Linked DNA regions of Pelodiscus sinensis. Each later gene encodes a partner of the first gene's protein in a complex. Links are inferred from orthologs where the notes say so. Each region holds a gene or a part of one and is shown in the gene's direction. Other genes may lie near its edges.

Region 1 (6,892 bases):
GAAGGAGATGTTCTTGCCCCCCTGGATGGGGGGCACAGGCCTCCAGGGCGGGCTCTTGTGCTCCTTGCTGGGGGAGCAGTGGATCCGGGGTGGGGAATGAAGAGCTGTTCTGCCCAAGATGCAGGGACTCAGGACAGGGATGTCAGAGCGAAGTCGATTAACCAATTAATCGAGAAGCAAAAGCGTAGAGGTTGATGCTGTAGACTACACACATTTCCCTCCCCCCACCCTTGCCAGTCAATTTTTTAGCAGGCTGGCCAGCCGCCCAACTCAATTCTGGATCATGCTGGGTCCAGGACCTACCCCTGCTGTAGCTCTGCATTTCAAGTATATTAGGAGCCAGGCAGGCAGCCCGCTCAGTTCCAGCTTGCACCGGGTCAGGGAGCTCAGACCCTCCTTAGACAGAGGCTGTCAGCCTGAGCTGCTACCTCTTTATCTGAGGCAGCAGCACTGGGCAACAGGCACAAGGGGAGCTAGTTTTTAAACTGGTTCCCCTCATGGACCAGCTCCTGCCTGGCGCTATGTGCTGCTGCCTCTGATACAGCGGCTGCAGGCCCCGCCCCCAGAGACTACCCAATAGTCGACTTACCAATAAGAAGTAATGAAGTTACTCGACTATTCAATTAACTGATCTTTAACATCCCTAAGGGTGTGTCTAAACTACATGGCTCCATCGATGGCGCCATGTAGATTAGGCTGATCAGCAAAGGGAAATGAAGCCGCAATTTAAATAATCATTTAAATTTAAATGGCTGCCGCGCTGAGCCGACAAACAGCTGATCAGCTGTTTGTCAGCTCAGCGCGCTAGTCTGGATGCTCCCGCACCGACCTGAAAGCCCTTTATCGACCTCCCCATTATGCCTCATTATTTAAATCGCGGCTTCATTTCCCTTTGCTGAACAAACAAATCGGAGCCATGTAGTTTAGACGTACCCTAACTCAGTAGGGTTGCCAGATGGTTTCACAAAAAATACCAAAGCTCCCCTCCCCCCCAAAAAAAATGCTGGGAAAAAATTCTGTTCAGAAAATAAAGGAAAAAGTTGATGAGCAAAAAAAAAGCCAGGGCTGAAATGCAGTCTCAGCCTCTTTAGATCCCAACCAGCGCGAGCAGCAGAGCATGTCCCGAGTGGCCTTCTGTCCAGACATTTTAGATGTTCGGTATTTTCTGACTTTTTTGACAGGACGGAAGGCGCAAATGCCGGGCTGTGCGGTTCCATACCGGACACCTGGCAACCCGGTAACTCAGAGGTGCTGCCATCACAGGCTGGTTCGTTCCCCTGGAGCGATGAGTTTGGCGGGTCTCAGACTGGCTCCCCACACACAAGCATCTTCATCACAAAAGGAGCCCTGGGCATGACACGGATGAGTGGCAACCTCAGCACAGCTGCCAGGACTGAACAGGGACTGAACTCTCCTCTGGAGTTAGGTTCAGGCAAAGACGTGGCTAAGGCACCGTGGGAGAGGAGCATGCCCTGCAATTGCCGGGGTGTCGAGGGTCCCTATGCTGAGAGCGGTTAACCAGGCTCCAAATAGATCCCAAAAGATGTAACATCTGCAGCATGGGAGTGGTCCTCTTCCCCCAGATGCATTCGCAGCCTGCTCTCTCTTCACTGTCAGTACAGATCTGGCCGTGATGGGTCCCCAAGAGGATCTTTGCTAGATGGCCACAAATGGGGCCCTGCATAGCAGCCAATGTACCCTCAGTCCCTGGTGCTCCTGGGAGGCTGGGCCCCAGCCCTCGTGATCAGGCAGAGGCCTAGCAGGGCTGCTAGACTTGCACCAGCTCCGGGGACAGCTGTGCTAGCCCTGCGGCAGTCTGCTCTTCTTGTGCCCAGGCCAGCTTGGTCACTGCTTTCTGCCCTCCCTTCTCAGGGCATCTACACTCCTGTTGGGGTATCACTATCGGCTAGGCCAGGGAATGGGCTTCTGGATCTCCCCTTGCCCAGATTCTTCCATCTCTGGTGGGAGTTGGCAGGGGATCCCAGGATCCCTCTTCAGCAGGGTCCAATCCAGGGAGGCAGCTACGTTCTGTACCTAAAGTGCTACTCTGTTGCTGCCTCCCTGGGTTGCTTTCTCACCAGTTCCCTTTCCCAGTAGCCATCAAAGAACTGAAATCAAAGGGGAAGTCTCCGACCTGTTGGCTCTCCCCATGTCTGGCAAAGTCTCTACAACCAGAGTCTTAGGCAGCAGCAGGGCCCCTGGTGTGCTCCATTCCATGATGGAGGTCAGTTCACCTCCACTGCCTACTCAGCTGTCCAGCACTAATCCTGTCCCCTTTGGGATGAGGCCATCTGGGACTAGCCGCTGCCTCTTTAGCCCCTTACTTACCAGTGTGAGGTTTGTATATCCCCATCACACACTCCAAAGGGAAACGTGGAGAGCACAGGGAACAAGCAGCAGCTGATGTTTGGTAGCTCAGAGCCTTACTCTGTGGTGAGTCTCTGGCTCATGTTGGCCTCTGCTCAGTATTTGGGTACCTTAGGTGATAGGGCTACTTGCCAGCTATGTAGCAGAGAATCACAGGCTGTGTATAGACTGGCAAGTTTTTCAGCAAAATCATCTGCTTTTGCGGAAAAACTTGCCAGCTGTCTACACTGGCCACTTGAATTTCCGCAAGAACACTGACGATCTCATGTAAGAAATCAGTGCTTCTTGCGGAAATACTGTGCTGCTCCCGTTCGGGCAAAAGCCCTCTTGTGCAAATCATTTGCGCAAGAGGGCCAGTGTAGACAGCACAGTACTGTTTTGCGCAAAAAAGCCCCGATGGCTAAAATGGCGATCGGGGCTTTTTTACGCAAAAGCACGTCTAGATTGGCCACGGACGCTTTTCCGCAAAAAGTGCTTTTGCGGAAAAGCATCCTGCCAATCTCGACGCTTTTTTCCGAAAATGATTTTAACGGAAAACTTTTCCGTTAAAAGCATTTCCGGAAAATCATGCCAGTGTAGACGTAGCCACAGAGACTGTGATTTTCTCATCTGACCTCCTGTGTAAGGGCAGAGACCCGCTCCATACCAATTCCTAGAGCAAATGTTTTAGAAGAAATAGCAAAATGGCCAGGGACAGGAGCACCTATGCTGGTCCTTGGTAACTTGTTCCGCTGGTTAATTACTCTCACAGTTAGAATTTGTACCTTCTTTCCCCTTTGAATTGTCTACAACTTCCAGCCGCCGGCTGGCGTTAGACCCTTTTCTGCTACAATGAAGAGCCCATGATTCGTGCAGGCACCGCTGCGTTTTACGGTGGTGTCACCATTGTGATGAGCTTCGCTGGGTGCATGTCCTGGAGTGAGGTACGCTGCATGCTGCCGTCTGCGGGCTGGACTCCAGGCTGCCATGCTATTTGCCAAGCTCCATGCAGCCAAGAGCAACTTGCTCTTAGCTCAAGCAGCAGGGACTTGGGAGCTGAATCTAGCCCTGTTCCAGCTGGGAGGGGAATGCAGCACAGAGCCACCGGAGAGTTCTCCGTGTCCCGGCACCAAAGGGTCGCCTGAGCCATGCCCGGGCACCTAGCTAGGCGCTGGCGGTGGGTGATGCCCATGAGGGCTGGGGGTGCACATGGACCCCACTGAGTAGCACAGGTAAATACAGTGGACACCTAGTCCCACGAGAGACACCAGCCCACGGGGGAGGGCAGCCCCATGCGGTCCTGTCCAGCGCCATGCACAGCGTCCCTCATGCGCAGACCGTGCCTCCACCAGCAGACTACATAAGACTACAAGTCCCGAAATGCAACGCGACGGGGGCGGGCTCAGCGACTGGACTGCATCTCCCAGCATGCAACGCTCGCTCGCGGCGGGGAGGGGGCGGGGCGAACTGCATTTCCCAGGGTGCGCCGCGCTCCCGGCGGGCGGGCGGAGGCCCCGGAGCGGATATCCGGCCCCGCCCCAGCCAGCCGCGCTCGGGCCGCCTGGCTGAGGAGAGCGAGCGGCGCAGCCCGGCCCGGCCCCGCCATGGGCTGCACGCTGAGCGCCGAGGACAAGGCGGCGGTGGAGCGGAGCAAGATGATCGACCGCAACCTGCGCGAGGACGGCGAGAAGGCGGCCAAGGAGGTGAAGCTGCTGCTGCTCGGTGAGCCGGGGCCGGGGCGCGCCGCGACCGACCCGCGCGGGACAGACCCCCCCCCCCCCCCGAACCAACCGCCCTTCCCCCGGGGCTGGGGGACACGGCTGGGGGGGCCCCGCGCGGGACAGACCCCCCCCCCGAACCAACCGCCCTTCCCCCGGGGCTGGGGGACACGGCTGGGGGGCCCCGCGCGGGCCAGACCCCCCCCGGGGCTGGGGGACACGGCTGGGGGGGGCCCCGCGCGGACCAGCCCTCCCCCCGGGGCTGGGGGACACGGCTGGGGGGGGAGGGCCCCGCGCGGACCAGCCCCCCCTCCCCCGGTGCTGGGGGACACGGCTGGGGGGGGAGGGCCCCGCGCGGACCAGCCCCCCCTCCCCCGGGGCTGGGGGACACGGCTGGGGGGGGAGGGCCCCGCGCGGACCAGCCCCCCCTCCCCCGGGACTGGGGGACACGGCTGGGGGGGGAGGGCCCTGCGCGGACCAGCCCCCCCCGAACCAACCCCCCTTCCCCCCAGGGCTGGGGGACACGGCTGGGGGGGGAGGGCCCTGCGCGGACCAGCCCCCCCCGAACCAACCCCCCTTCCCCCCGGGGCTGGGGGACACGGCTGGGGGGGGGGCCTGCGCGAACCAGCCCTTCCCCCCCAGGGCTGGGTCCACACTCCTTTACAGAGCCTTACCCTGACCCCCCCCTTGCACCGCAATCTCCTACGCCAGCTCAGCCCTGAGCCCCTCACGCTCTAAATCCCTTATTTAGCCCAAGACCAGAACCAGTGTCCTAATCCTCTGCCCCTGCCCTGTGGAAGGGAGGCGGTAGGGAAGACGGAGTGAGCAGGGGTAGGGCCGCAGAGAAGGGGCACGAAGGACGTGGAACAAATAGGGTCTGAGGTAGGTCCTGGATTGCACTTACATTCGAAAAGTGACCTCTTGCTTAAAAAGGTTGGAGACCCCTGCCCTAGCCTCTTTGTCAGAGGCAGGAACTGGGTAATAGGAGAGGGATTTTTTTATGATTCCCTGTTCTGTTCACTCCCTCTGGGGCACCTGGCACTGGCCACTGTCAGAAGACAGAAGAATGCCGGGCTACATGGCCCTTGGGTCTGATGCAATCCTTTCGTTCGTATTGGAGATCTCTGACTTGTTGGGCTTTTTTCCAATGTTGTTCTTTGAACAGATACATATTTTGGGGCTACAAACTAAGTGCTATGTTCTATATGGCTTTTGTGAACCTTATTGAAGGCTGGTTCATAGAGGTGCAATGAAGCACATGAAGATACAAGGAAGCAAGGAAATATTAAAGATTTCTTGGAGAAAACTTGCTGAATAATGAAGTCTGTTAATTTGTAGTAGACTCCCAAGTGAAAGCAGTCATTTCAAATGAGTTTAAGAATAAAATGAAGTACCATCTTGTATTGATTGGGGTGGAATGTGGATTATCTGATCATTCATAATCAGTTGCTTTGCAAAGTTGTCTTTCTATTTGAGAGACAAAATAGCTTTGGTGTATGTATTGATCTACTCAGAAGCACACCGACTAGTGAGTTTTTGCTTTATGTGGGAAATGTTAAGCTAAGATTTCTGGTTTCCTAAGGGGAGACAACCATAAGAATCCTATAAGCAATGTGTGTATTGCTTAACTTGTTTTTCAGCTGTGTATGGTGTGAGGCCCTGTGGTTCATGTCCTTTGTGTGCACAGAAAATTTTTTGATTGGCTGTTTGTGGTTATAGGTCTTCTTCCTTGGAGGTTTGCTCCTTTGTTGGAGTTGCAAAATGATTAGAGAAGGGACTCTCAATGGGATTAGTAACCTCCTTTTTCATACTGTGTGCGTGGGGTTTTTCTGTGTGCCACGATGCTGGAATATAGCTAACACTGAAAAGCCACTTTAAAAGGAGTTTGCAGAGGTGTGTTGGCAGTTATGCCTGTGTACAGCTTTTCTGTACAAATCAGACATGTAGCAGTGATGCAGTGTTCTCAGACTCTGTGGCAGAGATTTTTCAAAAGCATGAATGGTGGTTATGCACTTCACTCCTATTGTCTCCGTGGCAGTTAATTGGCCTCATGGCCGTTTGTGCTTTTGAAAAGGTTTCCATCTAACCTGTATTTTAAAAAAAATCCTAGCTTAGTAAAGTCTTTTAATGTCACCAGTGATTAAATGATTCTGCAAAGATCTTTGCACTCTACGTATTTAGTAATATACAGCTAAAACGGAGCAATCAACTTCTAAAATAAAATGTATGCACTGCATGCTGTAGTCATTTTATTAAAATTTCGAAAGCTAGACTAATAGCATATGAATCTTAAACATTTCAAGATCATTTTTAAAAAGAAAAATGCTAAAATGTCTAGGTTGAGATACAATTTCATGAAACGAAGCAAGGTAAGAACAGACCTTTGGAGTGTTTCAGTAACTGGAGCAAACCACTCAATGCTGATGCAGAGTTGTTTTGAAGAAATTTGTTGCTTTATAAAGTTCAGAAATCACTTTAATCCCCTTTTGAACAATTCAGAAATACTTTGAATGAAGGTGAGACGTCTCCATATACATCTCAGCATCTATTCAAATAACTGGCCTAGTTTTGCACTTCTCTGCAAAATTATGTAGGTTGGGAAAGCTCACATAGGCAAGAGCTAGTCAGTTTTCCTTGCCTCAGCCTTTCAACAGAATCTTCATTGTTATGACATTGCTAAAACATTGTAACCCACATACGGGTTACACCAGACTGAGGAGTCTAACCACCCTTTTGTAGAGAGATTGTAGAATTTTTGGAGTAGCCTTTTTTCAGCCACACGTCATGTGACTACAGGCCCTTGTTGGTTTTTTGAGATTTCTACTTTC
Region 2 (6,873 bases), about 4.0 Mb from region 1:
CGAAAGCACAACTGCTAGGGAGTAGCATGGGTCAGCTTGCTTACCCAGCTCTCTCTCTAAGAATGGTACAAGCTCCTACATCTTATAGAAAACTACCAGGAAGCAAAAGCCCTGAGATCCAGCTCCTGTGGGAGCAATGCATGTGAGAAATGGTTAATGACCAGGGGACAGAGCGTGTGATCAGAAGTTGGTACAATATTTTTATGTGTGTGGTTCAGGCATGAAGGAATGAGTCCAGCCCAGGGGAAATCTAAGCTCGGGTAAGGGGCATATATGTGTGAAGGGAGTCTCGGGGAATTCTGCTTTCCTGAAAAATACACTGACAAAAAAACACTGTTCAGGCAGAGCAGCATCCTGGATAATTTCACACTCTCATGCCGGTTTGCCAGCGCAGTGTCACTTTACAGAGGAAATTTGAGAGTACAGATACAAATTTCCCTCTACATGCAGTTAGCATGGAAATGAATCGGAGACACATTGACGTGGCTGGTTGGAGACAGGGGAAGTGCAGGTTTGCAGGCCCCAGAAAGATGATTCCCCTGGAGTCACAGGCAAAGCAGCTTGTGGTAGGGTAGGACTGTCTCTGTTGCTTGTATCTCAATAGCTCCTAGAAGCCTCATTGTGCTGTATGTGGGCAAAATGTGAGACAGTTAACAGTTTATTTATCTATTTAACCTATGGGGTTAAATAGAGCAGGGTGGGAAGAAAACAGTGTTATTACCCCACTTTACAGAAGGGGGTACAGAGATTAAGTGACTTGCCCTAGGGCACAGAGAGAATCTGTGGCGGAGACTAGAACTGACCCCGTGTCAGTCCTCAAGACTGGCTGTCCCATTACTGCTTTGGACAGGCTGAATTGGTGAGCTCATGGCAGCCTTATGGGGCATCTCTTGCTCCTTGGGGGTTCAAACATACAAGGTGCTTAGCATCTGCAGCCCCTGTTGATTTTAATGATTGCTGAGGTGCTCAGCACCACCAGGAGTTGCTTGACTCCTTGGGGAAGCTCCTTGGCAGTGACTCCATCTCCAAATTCCAGCCCTAGTGAACCCTCCCAAATGCTCACGCCCTTTTGGGTGCAGCCAGTTCTCGCCAGATGTTCCTTGCAAGCCAGATGCTTTGCTTAGTTGCAGGCAGGTTCTGTCCTGGCAGCTTTTCAATGTGAAGCAGCCTCCAAAACCTCACAAAGGAGATAGAAGAGCAAGTGGAATTATCATCATAGCTAAGGCCAGTTCTTTTTTGCATTGCCAATACTCGACTCTAAGACACTGCCAACACCTAATGCTTTCAAGGAATGTGAATGGTGTTCAGAACACACCTGGCCAGCTGTGCCATGAGATACATGGGAATGTGTGGAGCATTGTTGCACATTGGCAAATTTTTGGTGTTTTCTTAAATACCTGGACACGTTAGCTCCTTGAATCATGTTATTACATGCTAATCTTAGTTTACATGGAAAATAAAATAGTTTCTAGCCCTGTGGATTGTGGAGAAAAACTCAAAACCGGAAGTCTAATAACTCAAAAGACTAAAGGCCAATGAAAACCTCAGATCTGTTGTATTTTAAAATCTCATGGGGTGATAAAAGATTTTTGAATGCTGAGGATAGGCAGTGTGATATAGGCAGGCGCTTCAGTTCCAGAGTATTCCCTGAAGTCTATGATTGGATTGCCCCACCCCCTTTTTAATAGCTAGGTGCAGAGATGCTACATAATTATGGATCCTATTTGTGATGGAGTCACGGTGATGGGCTGTGTAATTAGAAGGCATTTATAGAGTCATAGAACCCTAGGGCTGGAAGAGACCTCAGGAAGTCATCAAGTCCAGCCCCCTGCCAAAGGCAGGACCGATCCCAACTAAATCAACCCAGCCAGGGCTTTGTCAAGCCAAGACTTAAAAACCTCTAAGGATGGAGATTCCAACACCTTCCTAGGGAACCCATCCCAGTAAAGACTGAAGCAAAGAAATCATTTAGTTTCTCCGCAATGGCTTTATAGCCCTTGATTCCTCCTTTTCTATCTCGATCATCTAGGGGACCCACAGGTTTTTTAGCAGGCTTCCTGCTTCTAATGTACTTAATAAACATTCTGTTATTTCTTTTTGAGTTTATGGCTAGCTGTTCCTCAAAATCTTTTTTTGCTTTTCTTATTACATTTTTACACTTGATTTGACAGTGTTTATATTCCTTTCTATTTATCTCACTAGGATTGGACTTCCACTTCTTAAAAGATACCTTTTTGTCCCTCACTGCTTCTTTTACATGGTGGTTAAGCCACGGTAACTCTTTTTTAGGTCTCTTGCTATGTTTTTTAATTTGGGGTATACATTTAAGTTGGGCCTCTATTATGGTGTCTTTAAAAAGTTTCCATGCAGCTTGCAGGGATTTGGCTCTAGTCACCGTGCCTTTTAATTTCTGTTTAACTAACCTCCTCATTTTTGTGTAATTCCCCTTTTTGAAATTAAATGCCAGGATGCTGGACTGCTGAGGTGTTCTTCCCACCACAGGAATGTTAAATGTTATTATATTATGGTCACTATTCCCAAGCGGTCCTGTAACTCCCCCTAAACGGTAAGAGCTAGGACCACCAAATTTGGTAGGCACCTCCTTTTATCATAACTTAAAGCAAGGTCAGTGTTTGGTTATGCCAGGACAGCGAGATGTGCCTTGAATGGGATTGTTTCTCATCAAATGGAAAGGGAGAAGTATGATAGGAGGGACAGTTATACTCATGAATGACCACAGGGGGGCAGCAAACACCCCAGCATCAGGGAGCAGCCAGCGGCTGCCCCCACCCGCTGCCATGAACTCCTCCTCACTCCCCAATCCTGACTCCTGCACCTCCACACCTCTAGCCTCCTGTCTTGAGCCCCCCACACCTCCAAGCCCTGCCCCGAAGGACCAGAGGAACGCTGCATAGGTCTTCTAGTAAAGCAGTGCTTCAGGTCTTGTAATTTTGGGTGACTTTATTTTCTAATAGATACTTGGAGGGTTTCTCTCCTTTGTTGTTTACCCAGTTGCGATTAGAATGGAGGAGCTTGGAGAGATCTGCTGTGGAAGGGGGCAGCGTTCACACACTTTGTCGAGTTGCTGGAGGAAGGAGGGAACAGAAGGTTGTGCCCTAGGGTTTGTGTTCGGTTGTGACTAACAACTTCTCCTGGGGGAGGGAGGGAGGCGCTTTCTGTGCAGACAGACATGTCTCTCTCAGGGCTCAGGGGTCTTCCATACATCGATCCTGGTCCTTTTCTTCTGCTTCCCTGCTCCTCACCAGAGCCCTTCAATAAGCAGCAGGATCAGATTTCCTATGAGGCAGCTGTGACCAAGTGGAGGCCCAGTTAGCAAGAACTACCACTCCCAGCATGCAATGCTTCTCCTAGGTCTGAGTAGCCTTGAGCTGGAGAGACACGTGACTGGAGGAAAAGGGCTGGCTCTGGAGAGGTGGTGGCTGGCCCAGAAGGCCAGTCAGAGGACGAATGCCATCCCAATTGGTGGAGGGAGAGGTTCAGGTTGGTTATTATCTCCTGGAGCTGACCCTATGATCCCACAGCATGGAGGACCCCCGTTAACATGGGTGTAATGCAGGCAGCATCAGCCCTGACAGCAAGGAGGATGTGTTTCCTAGTAGTTAAAGCATGTGGCTGGGGTGGGAGGAGACTTACACCCATCTGTATAACCATAATTCAGCTTCATGGCTTTATGCCTCAGTTTCCCCCATGTAAAAAGACACTGTGGGTTGCACCGGCTGGGAGCTAGGGTCTAGCGTTTATGCCTGTTGAGCTCCAGATGAAAGATCTGGGTAGCTGATACCCTCTTTATGCCTCTGTTTAATGGTCTTTCTCTTTCTCTCTCTTTTCAAGGCTTGTGGAGACAGGAGCAGAGGGTTTGGGTTGGTTTGGTTTTTTTCCCACCCTCTTCTCCTGAATGTAAAGTTATGCAAAGCCCAGAGCCAGACGGGATCCTCCAAAGGGCTGGGCAAAGGACCTGGTAAAAAACCAGCCCACCCTAGAAACCTCCTGGGCTTGGCTATCTGCTGCAAGATGGATGCTGGCGGAGACCAGAGCTGCTGATGGGAAGGTGACCTAGAGTGGGGAAGGAAACTATGCTGCGTCCCCTTGGAAAGGCTGCAGCCGGACACGCTGTCGCCTCTTCCTTGGCTGTCTGAGAAGTTACCCACCCCACCCCCACGCTCCTTCCTTGGTGAGCTCAGTGCTGGGCTGCGGAGCCAGGGAAGCGACAGGGGCTCAGTGCCGCATGGCTCTCTAGGCTGTGTCGGGGTTTCGGCGAGTCATTGGCGATGCCTGGGAAGAGCCGGGGATCTTTTTGCATGGAGCAGCTCTCCGTCTGCCTACTCCTGAGTGCTTGCAGCTGCTGGTGGAACCCAGCTGGCTCGGCTAAACCGAAGGGCCAGGGGCATCCGCACATGAACTCCATCCGCATTGACGGGGACATCACTTTGGGAGGCCTCTTCCCGGTGCACGGCCGGGGGGCCGAGGGCAAGGCCTGCGGTGAGCTGAAGAAAGAGAAGGGCATTCACCGGCTGGAGGCTATGCTCTTCGCCCTGGATCGCATCAACAACGACCCTGACCTGCTCCCAAACATCACCCTGGGCGCACGCATCCTGGACACCTGCTCCCGGGACACCCACGCCTTGGAGCAGTCGCTGACCTTCGTCCAGGCCTTGATTGAGAAGGACAGCACTGAGGTGCGGTGCATCAACGGCGGGCCCCCCATCATCACCAAGCCGGAGCGCGTGGTGGGGGTCATCGGTGCCTCCGGCAGCTCCGTCTCCATCATGGTGGCCAACATCCTGCGCCTCTTCAAGGTAACGCCCCCGGCTCACGGTCCCTCACCCTACCCTGGGGGGTCCTCTCACACCTTCCCTCTGTTTTGGGATGAGGGAAAAGCACACCTGGGGTGACTGATGCCGCCTCCTTGCTGTAGCAGCTAAATAACCCACCAGCAACCGTTTTATCGATAATGGAATGTACTAACTGCTCCCTCTCAGGCAGGGGAGGCCAAGAGGGTGGGCGGGAGGGAAGTGCAAGCTGTCTGCTGGTGTTCAAAGTACCCCCTCTCTCCAGGGGATTTGAGTTCTGCCAGCCACACCCTGCAACGATGCCTTGAGTTAAAGGGGCTTCCCCTCCGGTCCCTGAGTTCTCTCCTGCAGGTGCCTTGGATTGTGGTGCTCCACAGAGGGCAAGGGGAGGTGTGTCTTTGTGGCAGAGAGGCTCGTGCATGCTGCTGCCATATGCGGGTGGGTGACGGGGATGGAAGGGATTTCCCGCGGGAAAGGTTCCTCACCAGCAGGAGGAAGATGCCTGCTCCAAGCAGGGAGTAACTTCTTTCACGGTGGGGAGGTGCTTTACCTGGTTTATGTGAGGCCGTCGGTTTTAGAGGCAGAAGGAACAGCCTTAGGGCGGAGACCTTAGGGCCCCTGCGTTCTATTGCCAGCTCAGCCGCTTGTGCGTGGTGTGAGCCTGGGCACGTCTGCGTCACAGCCTCCTCTGCCCGCAAAATAGGCAACAAGGGTGCTCAAAGGCTGCTTTACTGGTTGGGCTTTGGGAGATCAGGAGCCAGCGCCCCCTACATGTGGCAAATCACTTAGTGGCTCTGTGCCTCAGTTTCCCATCTGTGCCACGGGGTTAATAGCAGTGCTGGGCTCTTCAGGGGGGAAAAATACAGCAAGGCCATTGAGATGCTTATTAGATGTGGGCTGTAGAAGCAGCAGACATTTGCCTCTTCTACTGTCTGGGGTAGGGGCCTTTGCACCCCCATTACGCACATTGTTTGGAGAGCCAAAGAACCAGACCCTGAGTATGCTGGAAACCACTTCAGGCCAGAGCATGCTGCTGCCCCCCCGGTACCTCTAATTCCAGCCCTCCTGATGTGGGGCCTCTCCTTTGCAAGACTCCCTGAATGCAAGTTGAAAATGAATCCCAAAAGGTGGTACTGGCCCTGTGACACACAGTTGAGCTGTTCTCATTGCCTCCACTAGAGGGCAGTGACCACACGCACCAGGTTGCGAAGAGACCTGGAGCCAGGGTTGTGGTGCAGAGCACGGTTCCCCTTGTTACCTTGTCTCCTGCGGACCTAGTCCCGTGGTCCTTCCCTCGTCACCCAGAATGAGGCTCTGCAACAGGCTTGCAGCATCTCCTTCGCGGTGGCCGGGGACGACTGGCCGAGCAACGCCCGGCCTTCCGTCCGCCATGGAACATGCTTTGGGGGTTTGGTGTCCCTCGGTGAACGCTTGCTCCCCTGGTGCCCCGGGGCTACGCTATTGGGGCAACTCGTCTTAGCGCACCTCCGGACCCTGAGCAGAGCGGGGTGTCTGGGAGGAGGCAGTGCTGCTGGGCGTGAGAAGAGAGGAGAAAGGGGAGGGATGAAATGGATTCAAAATACAGCCCCTGCCCTATAGCTAGGGGGGCCATCTCCCACGCGGGCCGGGGCCGGATGAGGGACCCCCGGGAAAGCCTGGGCATGTAGGGAATGGAGTCGGTGGTTCAGCAGAGGGCACTGGTCAGTCCTCCATTGTCCAGGGTGGCAAGTCCTTGAGGGAGAGTTTCTCCCAGTGACACCCTCCCCTGGGCCTCCCCACAAGGGGCCTGGACGTTGCCCCTCTTCGCCGTTCCGCCCACACCTCTCCCTTCCCTTCTCCCCTCTCCCACTCCCTGCCCTCCTCTGCAGAAACAATAAACTGCACTTTTTGTTTTGGAACAAGAAACACCGGTTTTTTTAATCGGGGTGAATGTAACTGGGGAAAGAACCTGGGAGAGTGAGGGGAAAGAGGGAGAAGAGGAGAAAGAAGAGGCTCAGGGTTGGAGCAGGGAGTGGCACCTGCGTTGGGTGGGCCCACTGCCTTTTGTGCAGGGCCCTCGGTG
Region 3 (6,863 bases), on another chromosome or scaffold:
GACACACACACACACACACACACACACACACACACACACACACTATCACAAGCATCAGCTAATTTCCGAGAGTTAGCCATGTTAGTCTGTTTCTGCAAAAACAAGAGTCCTTTGGCATTTTAAAGATTAATAAATTTATTTGAGCATAAGCTTTTGTGGTCTGGGATCGACTTTGTCAGAAACATCAGCTAAACTGCAGGGATAAAACCCAGAATCTTCAGCTTCAACAGTTTTGTAGTATCTCTATTACCTATTCATAGTATTAGCTTAAATTGCCTCAGTTGTATGTGTGGCATACAAGAGTGGTAAATAGATGTTATTTTCTTATAGACTTTAAGCTCAGTAGGGAGCATCGTGATCATCTAGTCTGACCTGCACTTTGCAGACCACAGAACCTCATCCACCCTCTCCTGTAATAGACCCCTAACCTCTGGAAGAGTTACTGAAGTCCTCAAATCATGCTTTAAAGACTTTAAGTTACTCAGAATCCACCATTTGAACTAGTTTAAGCCTGCAAGGGTCCCATGCCCCATGCTGCAAAAGGAAGGTAAAAAAACTATTCCTTCCTGACTTCAAATGTGGTGATCAGTTAGATGCTGAGCATGTGGGCAAGACCAAGCAGCCATACACCTGAGAGAGAATTCTTTATTGTAACACAGATTTCTCTCCCCTGCCGCCCACATCTTAAGTTCTGTCTCTAGCCATTGGCGATTTTTGCTACTAGAAGTCATTGGTGGGCCATGTGCCATTATATAAACTCTTATCATAGCATCTCCTCCATACATTTATCAGCTCAGTCTTGAAGCCAGTTAGGTTTTTTGCTCCCACTGCTTCCTTCAGAAGCCTGTTCCAGAACTTCACTGCTCTGATGGGCTGTGTCCAGACTCAAGGGTTTTTTCGAAAAAAGTAGCCTTTTTTCGAAAAAACTTCTCCTGCATCTAGACTACAGCCGCGTTCTTTCGAAATTAAATCGAAAGAACGCGGCTTTTCTTTCGATGGCGGAAAACCTCATTTCACGAGGAAGAATGCCTTTTTTCGAAAGTGCTCTTTCGAAAAAAGGCGTTCTTGAATGCAAACAGGGCTTTTTCGAAAGAGAGCATCCAGACTGCCTGGGTGCTTTCTTTCGAAAAGGTGGCTTGCTTTTTCGAAAGTACTGCTTGCAGTCTAGATGCTCTTTTTCGAAAGAGGCTTTTTTGAAAGTATCTTTCGAAAAAGCCTCTTTCGAAAGAGGCTTGCAGTCTAGACGTAGCCATGGTTAGAAACCTTTGTCTAATCTTTCAAGCCTAAACTTGTCAATGGCCAGTTTAGATCCAATTGTTCTTTTGTCCACATTGGCACTTAAATGACTCCTCTCCCTCCTTGGTATTTATCCCTCTGATATATTTATAGAGAGCAATCATACCTCTCCTCAGCCTTCTTTTAGTTAGGCTAAAAAAGCCAAGCTCTTTGAGTCTCCCCTCATATCGTAGTTTTGCCTTTCCTCAAATCATCCTAGTAGCCCTTCTCTGCACTTGTTCCGGTTTGAATTCATCTTTCTTCAACATGGTGAGTCCAGAATTGCACCCAGTATTGCAGATGAGGTCCCACTAGTGCCTGGTATGATGCCACTAACACTTCCCATTATTAATCATATTAATATGAATATTATTAATATTAATATATATTTTCTTTTACTATATGTCAAATAACTTCAGTCAGGGTCTTGTAGTTACAGCAGTGAACTAGGATTCAGGTGATGTGGATGATTCCTGCATCTATTACAGGTTTCCCTGTCACTTGGGGGCAAGTCCCCATTCTCTACTTTGCCTCAGTTCATGTAAAATGAAAATAACACTTCCCCACCTCATAGGAATGCCTTGTGGATACATTCCTTGTTCCAGAGATTCTCAGACATTGTAAGGGTGACTGATAAATGTCATGGGGTCTGGGAAACTATTATAGAAGTGGTGCCAGAATGGCTGCAAAAGGGGGTGGGTGATGGGAAGGGGCTTTGCTGTTATGCCACCTGGCTCCAGTCAGGGGCTTAGAGAGGGAGATGCCCCCCTGTTGCACTGCTTCTGAGTTCATGTTCTCTCAAGTGGGTATGGGGTCAATGCTGGTGACACATGCAGAGCCAGAATCCCCATATATTACCCCTGGAATGTGAATTCAGTACGTTCCTAGTATAGGATGGTTGCATGGGTGTGCTGTGGTAACTGATATTTGTGTATGCTCTTTCTGTGCACCTGTGTAGTAGGTTTCAGAGGGGTAACCCTGTTAGTCTGTAACTAAAAAAACCCTTAAAATGCAACAAATGGTCCTGTAACACCTTAGGGCATGTCTACATTAGGAAATTATTTTGAAATAATAACTCCTGAAATAATAATTTTGAAATAGTGTGTCCACACTACAGGGAAGCCTCAAAAATAGTCTGTGGCAGGCTCCCTAAAGGTATGTCTAGACTGTGGCGCTATTTCAGGATACCGGAAATATCCTGAAATAGCAACACTGCATCTTTAAATGCGCCTGCTATTTCCCAAAATAGTGCTGGAATAATGCCTTACTTTGAAATTTGGCACTGTCTACACAGCGCTAAATTTCAAAGTAAGCTCTTTCAACCTAGACTCAGAATAAGCTACACCATTTGCATAGCACAAATGGGGTAGCTTATTCCAAAAGAAGGGTGCTGTCTAGACGCATCCTTAATACGGATGAGTGACCTCGACTTAGAGTCCAAAGAAGCACTGCGGAGTAATTAGTTTGAATGACTCAGGGGAGTAGTTATTTCAAAATACCAGCAGTGAAGCATCTACACTACCACTATTTCTAAATAACTATTTTAAAACAAGCATTAATCCTCCTGATAAGCAGGAATTATTATTTCGAAATAACCAGCCACTTATTTCAAAATAACAGGCTTGGTAGCAGTGTTCCCTCTAATTTTTTCCATCTATGGATGGAATAGACTTTGTTATGTGCACTAAGGCATATACAGATGTGCACCACCAGTAGAAATACACACCTCTGTGGGTGCTCTGCTAATCAGCTAGGGTACGTCTAGACTACATGCCTAACAGGTGTAGGAAAATGAAGCGGCGATTTAAATAATTGCGGCTTCATTTACATTTACAAAGCTGCCGCCTGAGCCGATCAGCTGTTTGGCGGCTCAGCGAGGTAGTCTGGACATGCGGGTGTAGACATCAAAGGCATTTGTCGACCACCCAGGTATGCCTCCTGGGATGAGGTTTACCTGGGTGGTCAACAAATGCCTTTGATGTCGACACCCGGGCGTCCACCGCGCTAGCCGACAAACAGCTGATTGGTTCAGCGTGGCATCCATGTAAATTTAAATGAAGTGGCGATTATTTAAATCGCAGCTTCATTTTCCTATGCCGGGTAGCCTAATCTACATGCCTCTGGCGACAGAGGCATGTAGTCTAGACGTACCCCTAGATGGCACCTGAATCTCTCCTGAGAGGCTACCCAAGTGCCTAGCTTACAGCGAACACTGCTTGATAGCGTGGACTCCACTTCTTATTTCAAAATAAGGGGAGTTATCGCAAAATACCTCCCTAGTGTAGACCAGGGCTCAGAGTTTAACAAATATATATACAGGATCGTGAGCTCTCATGAGTACAACCCACTTCTTCAGATGAGTGGAGCAAAAGGCACAGAAACCTCAACATCTGTGAAGTGGGTGTATTTCCCTCTCTGAACTTTTGTGTGTGGGTGAGGAGCTGGGGGGTGACTGATTTGTACACGGGGAGATAGGCACAGCACCCCGCCTGTGTGGGAGTCCACCCACCTATCTCCGGGCGCCTGTCCATGTGCGGAGCATGTGCCTGGGCGCCTGCCCACTTGCGGGGGGGAAGGGCGCGGAGAGCGGGAGCTGGCCAGCGGCGCCTTTCCCAGCTTCTCTTCCCGCTGGCTCCCGCGCGGCTGCAAGCGCCGCTGCTACCGCTGGGGGACCCGCGGGAGATGCTGCCGCCCTGGCCGGCGCCGGAGGAGGGGTAGGATCCGGGCGCAGCCCGAGCATCTCCGCAGCCGCAGCGCGCGAGCCGCTGCCTCCCCTCCCGCCGGGCAGCGAACCCGGAGCTGGCGAGGCAGCGAGCCGGCCCCCAGGCGGAGCGGGGCAGGAGGTGAGCGAGCCGGGCAGGGGCGGGGAGCCCGGGGCGCTGCTACCCCCTGGCTGCAGGCAGAGGGTGCCTCACAGAGGGGCCGCGCCGGCTCTCTGGGTGGGCTGGGACCCGCCGGGGGCCGCGCTCCCCCTGCGCCCGGACCCGAGCCTGGGCGAGCCCAGCCGCTCCTCGCAAGGTCAGCGCGGGCTCGGCGCCGCGGGCTGGCGGGCAGGGGGGTGCGCGGCCGAGGAGCGGGGCGTCGGGGCGCCAGGGGGCTCCGGGGAGCGCGGCGCGAGCCAGCAGCCCTGCTAAGCCTGGCTCTGCTGCCGCCTGCGCCCTCACCCCACCCCACCCCCGGGGGGGGCGCCGGGTTTTGCTGCCGCCGGCTGCGCGGTGCTCGCCCCAGTCCGGGACTTCGCCCACCTGCTCCGCTTTCCGAGCGCGGGCCCCGAAGGCTGGTGCGCCTAGCGGGACCTGGCAGGCTTTCACCCGGGTGCTGCGACTGGGGGGCGCGCGGGGCGAAGCGTAGGGGCTTGCCCAGACCCAGACGGGAGGGGCTGGTGCCTCTGGCTCCGTGCGCCGTGGTGAGTGCCCCGCTGGAATGCATGGCTGGAAGGAACAGATTGTGGGAGCCCAAAATTCGGTGGTTTCGGGTTTTCCGGGGTCTCTAGCGTTGTCCTGGGGCGCTTTGGGGCATGGGAGCTTTAGAGCATTTTGGGAAGGGGGATGGCAGCAAGGCCAATGACTAATGTGTCCAGGAGTGAAAGTAACTTAAATTCCTTGCAAGTGCCCTGGTGTTGCACCCCCTCCTGGGCGGACACTGGGGGTTGTGATATAACAGAACCTGTAGGAAATGTATGTGGGGGGCTCAGGGCAGGGGTTTCGGGTGTGTGTAGGGGGCGTGGACAGGGAGGGCAGAGTGGCTAAAGCTGTTTGCTCTTCCCCTTCCTGGCCCTGTCAGGGAGCAAGGCCAAAGTGCAGGGCTGCTCTGCCCCGACCAGCCACATCGAGAGGGACGCAGCAATCTGCACTTTCTGCTCATTCGCTGATAGCAAGGAAGGGGAACAGACAGCAGCTGCCCCATGCGAATATGAGGGGGAGATCTACAGCCCTGGCCTCAAAGGGCGTCTAGGGAATGGGAGTCTCAGGGCTGAGGTGTGATGGGGGAGGGGGTGCCTCCAGCCAGCCCTGGTCACCTGCCTGACTGGCTGGTGCATAGTGCAGCATCCTGTAGCAACGACCCAAGAGCAGTTCTGGGAGCATCCACTGCCTCCTTCTGCAGCCAAGTACCCCAGCCAGACAGCTCCTCCTTATCAGAGCAGCACACCAGGGCACACAAGCTTACTTTCATCTCTGAGATAATAGAAATTAAAGAGCAATCTGTTGCACAATGTTGTTGTCCTTACGCAGGCAAAGCTTCCGTTAACGGCTGAATTGTAAAACCTGTGAATTTTACCCTAAAATATTTCATACATTTATCCATCCTAGTGAAAGAAAAGTCACTGGTAAGCAGTGCTACTCAGACATTTTTTTCAAGGTGAAGGTGTGTGGAAAAATTAGTGGGACTAAGACAGTTAACTAAAATTAAAACTATTCAGTCATATATTTTACAGAAATCACACAGGCTGCAAAAATTGTCTCAAATAATCTTGACAGAAGGTGAATAATACAAATAATGTGAATGTCTCAGAAAATCTAGAATGTCTGTGGGTCAGATTTTCTGGTCTGCTAAATCAATTTTGCACTACCTACTTCACTCATATTGCGCATAGTGAGCTTCATTATGTGGGGATTCCTCTTGGAGAATTTCCCCTATATAGAGGCAATTTCTTCTAATGTAGAGACTCTGATTCCTCTTACACCAGCTCTAATACCTTCCAAAAGAGTAGGAGGGGCAAGTTTGGGGAGAATAGGGTGAGTGTGGCTGAGAGAGGCTTTCTTGTGGCTGATCCCTTGCCTCCCTGAGGTACCCATTGCTAACAACATAAATTAAAGCCGCCACTGTGTATTTTTAATTCATGCCAGGGCTGGGCAGCTAAGAATTAGCTAGGTGCTGTCACCTGCCTATCCTTCTCTTTCCATGGTACCCTAGCTCTGTTCAGATAGGGTATGTCTACACTACAAAGTTCGAACTAACTTTCATAGGCGCTACACTAGCGCTCCGTTAGTTCGAACTTAATTCGAACTAACGGAGCGCTTAGTTCGAACTAGGTAATCCTCATTCCACGAGGATTAAGCCTAGTTCGAATTTACTAGTTCGAATTAAGGGCTGTGTAGACCCTTAATTCGAACTAGTGGGAGGCTAGCCCTCCCCAGCTTTCCCTGGTGGCCACTCTGGCCAGCACCAGGGAAACTCTATGCCCCCCTCCCGGCCCCGGACCCCTTAAAGGGCCACGGGCTGGCTACGGTGCCCATGCCAGGTGCAAGCCTGCCAGCACCCAGCCAGCAGACCCTGCACCTGGCACGGATCGAGCCACCCAACTGATGCCCCCCAGCCCTCCCCCTCTTCCCGGGACCAGGCTGGCGGCTCCCGGGAGCTTGCCCGAGACCGCAAGAGGCGGGTAACCGCCTGGGCTAGTGCGGACATCGTGGACCACGACCTCCGCACTAGGCACAGGAAAGTGGCCGGCTAGGTCAGGATAGCTGCCAGCCTGGCCACCCAGGAGCAGGTGTGCAAGAGAATCAAGGGGGTCCAGTGAGACCCCCGACCCTGAGCCCTGAGCTTACAATGGCCGTCCTGGGTCAGACCAAAGGTCCATCTAGCCC
Region 4 (7,029 bases), on another chromosome or scaffold:
CTCTGAACTACTAGTGCATCATCTGCATATGGCAACATACCCCATTGATTAAGGGTGGACAAACCAGTTTGGTTTAAAACAAGAACAGACTTGAAACTGCCCTAGGCCTTATTCCAATTATAACCCATTCCAAGGGTCAAAGTAGTTCATGTTGGAGGCTTCTTCTGTCTCAGTGAACACCAACCTCTTAATTAAGATAAACTTTGGTTAAGCATTTACAATTTGGGGTCTTATCCAAATCAAACCGATGAACCTTGTGATGTTTGCTCCACTCATGAAAAAGCACTCCTCAGAATCATGGAAGAGGCATGCAGGGAACAGCTCGGTTATTCCTAGGCATCTGCCAAACAGCAGTTGGCTGTCGATTGATATATGGAAAATCTCAGCATGAATCATGCATTTTGTCTTGTTTTTATTGTAAACTTCATTATTGCTTTTTTCCCCCAATTAACTTTGAAAATGGAAGTGCCTGTTAAGCAAGATTCTTATCACCTGTTCAACTTCCAAACTATGGGGTTGTGAAGGGAGAACAAATAGTGATGCAAAAATGATGCAAACTGGAAATAGGATAGGACATTTTTTTAAATTATGTCAAAACACTGCCTTAACTATATAGATTAACATAGAAATATATAGACTGTATTATAGATGAACTAACATGAATTTAAAGATAACAATGGGTACGTCTACACTAGTCCCCTAGTTCGAACTAGGGAGGCTAATGAGGGTGACCAAAATTGCAAATGAAGCATGGGATTTAAATATCCCACGTTTCATTAGCATGTTCCCGGGCGATCGCCATTTTGGAAATTGAATAGCCCGGATAACTGCCCGCGTCTACACACGGCAGTGAAACGGGAGTTGGAAGTAAACCCCTAACTCAAATTAGCTGTTACTCCTTGTGGAATGAAGTTTAGTAGCTAATTTGAGTTAAGGGGTTTACTTCGAACTCCCATTTCACTGCCGTGTGTAGACGCAGGCAGTTACTCCGGGCTAGTCAATTTCCAAAATGGCGACCACCCAGAAACATGCTAATGAAGTGCAGGATATTTAAATCCCGCGCTTCATTTGCAATTTCGGTCACCCTCATTAGCCTCTCTAGTTCGAATTAGGGGGCTAGTTTAGACGTACCCAATATGTGTTAAAACAAAAATACTGATATTTTGTTTTTAAGCTCGAAGCTATGCAAAATGGTCCTTAGACTCTCTTGAGGTCATATTAAGCTTTTAAATAGAGTGAGTTACATATTTGCATCAGGGCCGAATTAAGAAAGGGCACTGTAGGGGCTGCAGCCCATGGCCCTGGACTAAAGGGGGCCCCACAAAAAGATCTCCAGGCCACCAAAAGTGAAGATCTTTTTGCTGGTCCCCTTAGCAGCCACTAAAGCCCCTGTGTGCTATCCAGCCCTGCCTAGCGGGAGGAGGAGGGAATGAAGGTCCATGTGCTACCATGCCTCCCCTGCCCCCTAGAGCTGCAAACGCCAGAAGCTCGGGATGTGCATGTCTCTCGCCTCCAGGTTCTGTCCTCAGCCCCCAGAATTGTGGCCCATGGGAGTTGCAGGGGGCAGTGTTTGTAGGCAAGGACAGGCCAGTGTGCAGAGCTATCTGCTCCCTCCCCTTCTGTCCCTACCCATGGTCATCTCTGCCAAAGGGGATCTGCCAGAGGTAAGTGACTAGCCCCCTAACTCCCTACCCCAGCCCTGAGCTTCCTCCCGCCCCCTAAATCCCACTCAGATTCTGCCCCAGTTCTGAGCCCCCGTCCATCACACAAACTGGCTCTGAGACTCCACACATCAAGACTCTGCCCCAGCCTTGAGCTAGCTCCCGTACCCTAACTCCCATCTAGATCCCACACCCCATAGCCCTGCCCCAGCTCCAGCCCTATCCTACATCCAAACTCCCTCCCAGAACCTGCATCTCACCTCCTGCCTTGAGCCCCTTCCCCCACACTAAATCCCATCCAGACCCTGCACTCCCACCACCTGCCCCAGCCCTGAGACCCTTCCCACACCCTAACTCCTGCCCAGGCTGCACACTCCCCCCCCCCTTGCCCCATCCCTGAGCCCCCTCCTGCACCCTAATTCCTACCCAGACCCTGAGCTCCAATCCCACCCTCCTGCACTCAGCCCCCTCCTCCACCCTAACACTCTCACAAACCCTGCACCTCCACCTCCTGCCCTGAGTACCATCCTGCACTCGAAACCCCTTAAGCCCAGCCTGGAGTCCCGTCCTGCATCCCAAATGCCTCATCAGCAACCCCATCATGTAGCCTGCACTCCCAGTCAGAACTCTCACCCCCTCCCACATCCAATTTTCTGCCTCAATCCACAGCCCCTTCCTTTTTTTTGCTCCACCCCAGAGCTTAGGGGGCCCCACAAAATCTAATGGCCCCAGGCTCCCAGAAGAGTTAATCCATCCCTGGTTTGCATGCTAAACTATATTCTCCATCTGTGCATTAGAGTGACTGGTGACATAAACAATATCATAGATGGCAGGAGGCATGCTGCATTAATCATAGGTATGGAGCATTACAATTTGAGAAGTGTTATATGTTGGTAGAGGGGAAAAATACTAGCAGGACACCCTCTACTGCTTAACACAGTGCAGAAGGTACCACATACATGCTTACATTTTAGCTAAAGGAAGAGGCATTCAGATAAATGAGTACATGCACTAGCACTAATATGCACAATTTATTGGCAAATGGCTGAGTTACGAAAATATATGGAAGCAAGGCTTGCTATGTATGTATGGCACTCATTCCTATGCTAGTGGAAGCTGAGACCTCTGGATCTTAATACCAGAGCCTGGCCCTCTACTGCGTGAACTAAAAATTCCAGGTTTGTGAGCCAAGGCTATAGCAGGCTCATCAAGCTGTAGTTGGCCTTGACGCTACTAGTGGGGGACAGAGTGCCACAGTATGCAGGCACGGCTTACACATATATGTTTTGTCATGCTTATGAGTATGAAAAAAATATTTCAAGTTATCACTGAGATAAAATCTCCCATGTATTGTACACTCCAACTTTTCACATCTTTCTTTTGTAAGGGTATCTGAACCAGGCCTTAGAACCCTTCTCTATTCTTTTAATAAGATGCAAACTCAAAAGAACTGGCTTCTTGGAAAGCAAAAACAGTTTTAGCATATGGGCTTGTTAAAAATGAATTTCTAATGTGTTGAACTGAACATAACGCTGTCACCTAACCTTCACTCAGTACTACAGAAAATTAGCCGCTACCTCTGCCAAGCCACTGGGATTCCATAAAGAACTTCCAGGCAGTATTAGCATGAGAACAAATACCAATTGTACAAACATTTCCAAGTGCAAAACTTTTTGCATCAGGGGTACAGTAATCTTTTAGTTCCAACTGAATAATGTTAGGAATACAGATGATTCAGCAGTGATCCTGGTATATCCTCTCCTTCCCAGACACAAACATAAGCTGATGAGAAATATGAGACATTGCTTATCTTAGTTAGCATTTTTTAAATCAATTGTAGAACAGTTGGGACAATTCCAGATTACTTGAAGATTCTGGAGAGTGCAATAACACATCTTATTTTGTTAGCATTATTATATTGTTAACATATTAATCCACAAATAGAAATTCAAGGTATATTTTCCTTTAGAAGGATAGGAGGTAAGGGTAAATTTTTAAAGAGCACAGCTAGGACCCTTAACGCTATTCCTATTGTTTTTCTTTCCATGTTGGATTATAAACCAACAAGTGATTCTGCACTTCTGCCTTCAAATGTGCAGGGCACTCAAGCTTTGTGAAGACACATGCAGCAGGCAACAAATAAAAAAAATTCTCCATCTTGCTGGAATCTGCAGCAACCAGACCAGGTTTTTTTGCAAGTGGAGACTGCATAAAACAGAAGAGAACACTGCGTCAGCACTGTACTCAGAGTAAGAGCCTTTTAAGGACGTGATATGGGAGTGTGCTTTGGTGTGCTTCCCACAAGCAAATCAGTGTGCTCAGGAGGCGTAACCGAAACCCAACCCTTTCCCCTACTGCCTTCTATAAAAAAAGGCTGCCTTTCTCTTCACGTTCAACTTCTCAGTGAAGAAAAGGGTGCTGCTGCAGATCAGCGATAGACCCTGGGATAAAACAGAAGAAGTATGCAAAGTGCAATCTTCCTTGCTCTTCAGCACAACTGTGGACAAATGGAGAGAACTCCCAGCAGCTGTCAAAATGAGGAGAAGAAAGGAAAGATGAAGAGAACTGTGTAAGTTTATGTATTTATAGCAGATTTAATTCATATAAATAGCTACCTGTGGCTTTCAGAACAGTGATTCAAAATAGGGAGCTTGCATCTCAGTAAGGAGAAAATGTTTACACTATTTGGTAAGAATCTGACAGCACTGACTTTTTAAAAATGACTTTGGGTGCAATACCTAAGCAGTGCAAGAATGGGTTGATTTATGTATTTGATGTCAGCTTGGATTTTTAAAATGGCAAAATATCTCCACTTCAAAAGCACTCATGAGAAAAAAAAATCCTGTTTTTGTTGAACTGATCATTTGATAAAAAATATAACTGTCATCGTCAGTTCAGAAAAAATGTAGGGTTTGTGCAGAAATGGTTTATTTCAGTTTATGCTTGTGTGGTGAAAATGTAAGCACATATTTCCCCCATTCATTATTTACCCAGCTAGCTGTGCAATTTTACATTTGATTGGTGTCTTTAAATGGTTCTGTCATTTGACTTTTAAAATTTAACTGAGTTTGCTTCTTGCCAAAGCAAAAACAGATCTTGAATATCTTACATTATTAGATCTATAATGAATATTCAGTTTGCATTGCCTGGATAAGACATGATATTTAAAATGTAAGGGATAAATTAGTCTTCAATTCCCAGTTTCACATAGAGGCTAATGGAGACAATTGTGCTGCAGTTCTTGTGGAGTTTAGTCTCACCTGATCCACATTCACCACATGGCCCTAAACTAGACTAGCTGCCGCACTGAAAAGACATTTTTAAATCTCGCAGATCCAGTTTTTGTCTCTTCCAAAAATCCAACAAGAAGAGATTAAATCTCCAAATGAAGAGGGTTAAATATCTGAGCACCAGAGGCCCCCATCCCAAGTTTTCAATCTGCTAAAACACCCACTGAGGACAGACCACAGGATTGGGCCTTAGGGGAAGAGCGTAGGTCCTTCGTCAGAGCAGCACACCTCTGATTGTGAAACTGTTACAGATGCCTTAGTTATAATTAGTCACTTTCCAGTGGCTGTGTGATCTCAAGTGCTCCATCAGTGCAGTGGGGAAACTACGGTTGTCTGAGACAGAAAGATTGAATCCCATGTTCTTGAAATAGAACTTAAAGAGTTGAGGGTTGATCCCACAATTAAGCAGGCACAACTACCATCAACTACAAGAGCAATTTTTCATTCTCTTTATGGATTACAGGCTCAGTTCCATCTCTAGTCAAAATGTGTAAAGCTGAAAGTATAATTTCAGTTAACTCTCATTTTAATGTATTTTCCTCTCTTCCTCTCTCCTCTAGCATTAAGGATTGGAAAACAAGGTTGAGCTACTTCCTGCAAAACTCTTCCACTTCTACAAAAACCAAGTCCAACAAAAAAGGAAAGCAACATTCTTACATCAGGTAAATTAAATATTCAGATTTCACTCAAATGAATTTCAAATATTTTAGCATTCAAGGGAGTAGAAAAATGTGCTGTTCAACAACCTAACTATACTCTCCATCCTTTTATATAGACCTTCTCCTGAAGAAGCCCAGCTTTGGTCAGAAGCTTTTGATGAACTTCTAGCTAATAAATGTAAGTCAGTCTGAAAAAAAAATAACAAATCACTGTAAAAATATAAAGGTGTTTTGGTCTTTGTGGGTTTTTGTAATAATAAACACTACCTCAGATAAGAACAAACAGTGGTTTTCCATCCGTATTATAAATTACCCTTTGAATAACCTCCTGCATTCACCTTGATATTGGTCTCCAACACTTCTATTTTAAACAACCCAAAATCCCACTTCCTAAAATCTTTATCAAAGATTTTTCTGCACTTAATAATTCTCTCCAAGACAAATCCTCCTTCTAGTGCTATTAAACATATTCACATTAAGCCACTGTGGACTTGAGGCTCTGTGGGTTTTATAGCCACTCTGCAAAGAAAACCACTTAATTGCTGATTAAGAAAAAAATATTAGCATTTGCTGATAATGAACTTTGAGTCACTCTTTCCATTGCAAATGTCTTCCAAAGGTTTATAGCTTTGTTGTAAATATTTACTCCAGTCTAAAGGTTAACATACTAGAATTCAGATCTGGAGAGAAACTGTATAATGAAGGGGGTTGGTTTTTGTCTTCTAAAACCTAGCAGGATGTTAAAGGAAGTGTGCCATTTTTATATGGTTTTCATTTTTTGCACTTTTCCTTCAAAAATAACTTCAGTTCTTTTTTTTTTTTTTTTTTTTTTTTTTTAAAAGGAAGCCTGGGAAACTGTTCATGCCTAATAATGTTCTTTATATGAATACATAGACAGTTTAAAGTTCCTGGCCCTTTGAAAGAAATAGGAACTCTCAGAGCAGGTATATTTTTGGTAGGAAAATACGTGGACTATTGCTGAATGCAAGATTCTTGGAATGTTTTCAGTTCATATATTTCCTCCTTTTCTTTCTCTCCAGATGGTCTTGCAGCATTTCGAGCTTTTTTAAAATCAGAGTTCTGTGAGGAGAACATCGATTTCTGGCTGGCCTGTGAAGACTTCAAGAAAATCAAGTCACCTCAGAAGCTGACATCCAAGGCTAAAAAAATCTACAGTGATTTCATTGAAAAAGAAGCTCCCAAAGAGGTAAAAAATCCCTCTATTTAAAACCCCCATTGCTGCTATCTCTGAGCACTCAATTTTAACGACCACTTCCAGGCTTTCATCACATCCATTGTGAGCTCATGTTTTAAGATTTTGTTGCCAAGCTGCATTTATATCCCTGAGTACTGATTATTAACATCCAAATATCACCTTGGTACAATAATGTATACATACCAGTTCTCAGGTTGGAAAAT

The links. The genes of interacting proteins can lie anywhere in the genome.
Region 2: the proteins of GNAI3 (region 1) and GRM4 are in contact, whole or in part, in a cryo-EM structure (PDB 8JD6), measured with the Homo sapiens proteins. The link is inferred for Pelodiscus sinensis from reciprocal best matches to the Homo sapiens genes GNAI3 and GRM4. Residues at the interface, in NP_006487.1 of Homo sapiens: Ala31, Lys32, Val34, Lys192, Asp193, Leu194, Thr219, Phe336, Thr340, Ile343, Ile344, Asn347, Leu348, Cys351, Gly352, Leu353, Tyr354; in NP_000832.1 of Homo sapiens: Pro616, Lys619, Ala620, Gly622, Arg623, Glu624, Arg676, Ile677, Ile680, Phe681, Gln683, Gly684, Lys685, Arg686, Ser687, Val688, Ser689, Ala690, Ile694, Ser695, Pro696, Phe781.
Region 3: the proteins of GNAI3 (region 1) and extracellular calcium-sensing receptor are in contact, whole or in part, in a cryo-EM structure (PDB 8SZH), measured with the Homo sapiens proteins. The link is inferred for Pelodiscus sinensis from reciprocal best matches to the Homo sapiens genes GNAI3 and CASR. Residues at the interface, in NP_006487.1 of Homo sapiens: Ala31, Lys32, Gln304, Glu308, Lys314, Asp315, Thr316, Lys317, Glu318, Ile319, Tyr320, Thr321, Phe334, Asp337, Ala338, Thr340, Asp341, Ile343, Ile344, Lys345, Asn347, Leu348, Glu350, Cys351, Gly352, Leu353, Tyr354; in NP_000379.3 of Homo sapiens: Lys644, Ala645, Asn647, Arg701, Val702, Val705, Phe706, Ala708, Lys709, Pro711, Thr712, Arg716, Trp719, Phe801, Ile869, Val872, Arg873, Thr876, Ala877, Ala880, Phe881, Lys882, Val883, Ala884, Ala885, Arg886.
Region 4: the proteins of GNAI3 (region 1) and RGS2 are in contact, whole or in part, in a crystal structure (PDB 2V4Z), measured with the Homo sapiens proteins. The link is inferred for Pelodiscus sinensis from reciprocal best matches to the Homo sapiens genes GNAI3 and RGS2. Residues at the interface, in NP_006487.1 of Homo sapiens: Val179, Lys180, Thr181, Thr182, Gly183, Ile184, Val185, Gln204, Ser206, Glu207, Lys209, Lys210, His213, Ala235, Glu236, Asp237, Glu238; in NP_002914.1 of Homo sapiens: Glu104, Phe105, Glu108, Asn109, Glu143, Ala144, Pro145, Glu147, Ile148, Asn149, Asp151, Phe152, Leu180, Asn183, Ser185, Arg188.

Annotation. Positions count from the first base shown.
Region 1 is NC_134737.1:15,366,656-15,373,547, reverse strand, and holds the start of GNAI3 (guanine nucleotide-binding protein G(i) subunit alpha-3), read left to right. Parts: upstream 1-3,869; 5' UTR 3,870-3,950; coding exon 3,951-4,068; intron 4,069-6,892. UniProt on the Homo sapiens protein: Heterotrimeric guanine nucleotide-binding proteins (G proteins) function as transducers downstream of G protein-coupled receptors (GPCRs) in numerous signaling cascades.
Region 2 is NC_134737.1:11,322,577-11,329,449, reverse strand, and holds the start of GRM4 (metabotropic glutamate receptor 4), read left to right. Parts: upstream 1-3,858; 5' UTR 3,859-4,289; coding exon 4,290-4,817; intron 4,818-6,873.
Region 3 is NC_134711.1:139,643,425-139,650,287, reverse strand, and holds the start of extracellular calcium-sensing receptor, read left to right. Parts: upstream 1-3,848; 5' UTR 3,849-4,118; intron 4,119-4,145; exon of another isoform or gene 4,146-4,293; intron 4,294-4,496; exon of another isoform or gene 4,497-4,681; intron 4,682-6,863. UniProt on the Homo sapiens protein: G-protein-coupled receptor that senses changes in the extracellular concentration of calcium ions and plays a key role in maintaining calcium homeostasis.
Region 4 is NC_134719.1:50,074,506-50,081,534, reverse strand, and holds the start of RGS2 (regulator of G-protein signaling 2), read left to right. Parts: upstream 1-4,014; 5' UTR 4,015-4,123; coding exon 4,124-4,230; intron 4,231-5,511; coding exon 5,512-5,613; intron 5,614-5,726; coding exon 5,727-5,788; intron 5,789-6,650; coding exon 6,651-6,817; intron 6,818-7,029. UniProt on the Homo sapiens protein: Regulates G protein-coupled receptor signaling cascades. Inhibits signal transduction by increasing the GTPase activity of G protein alpha subunits, thereby driving them into their inactive GDP-bound form.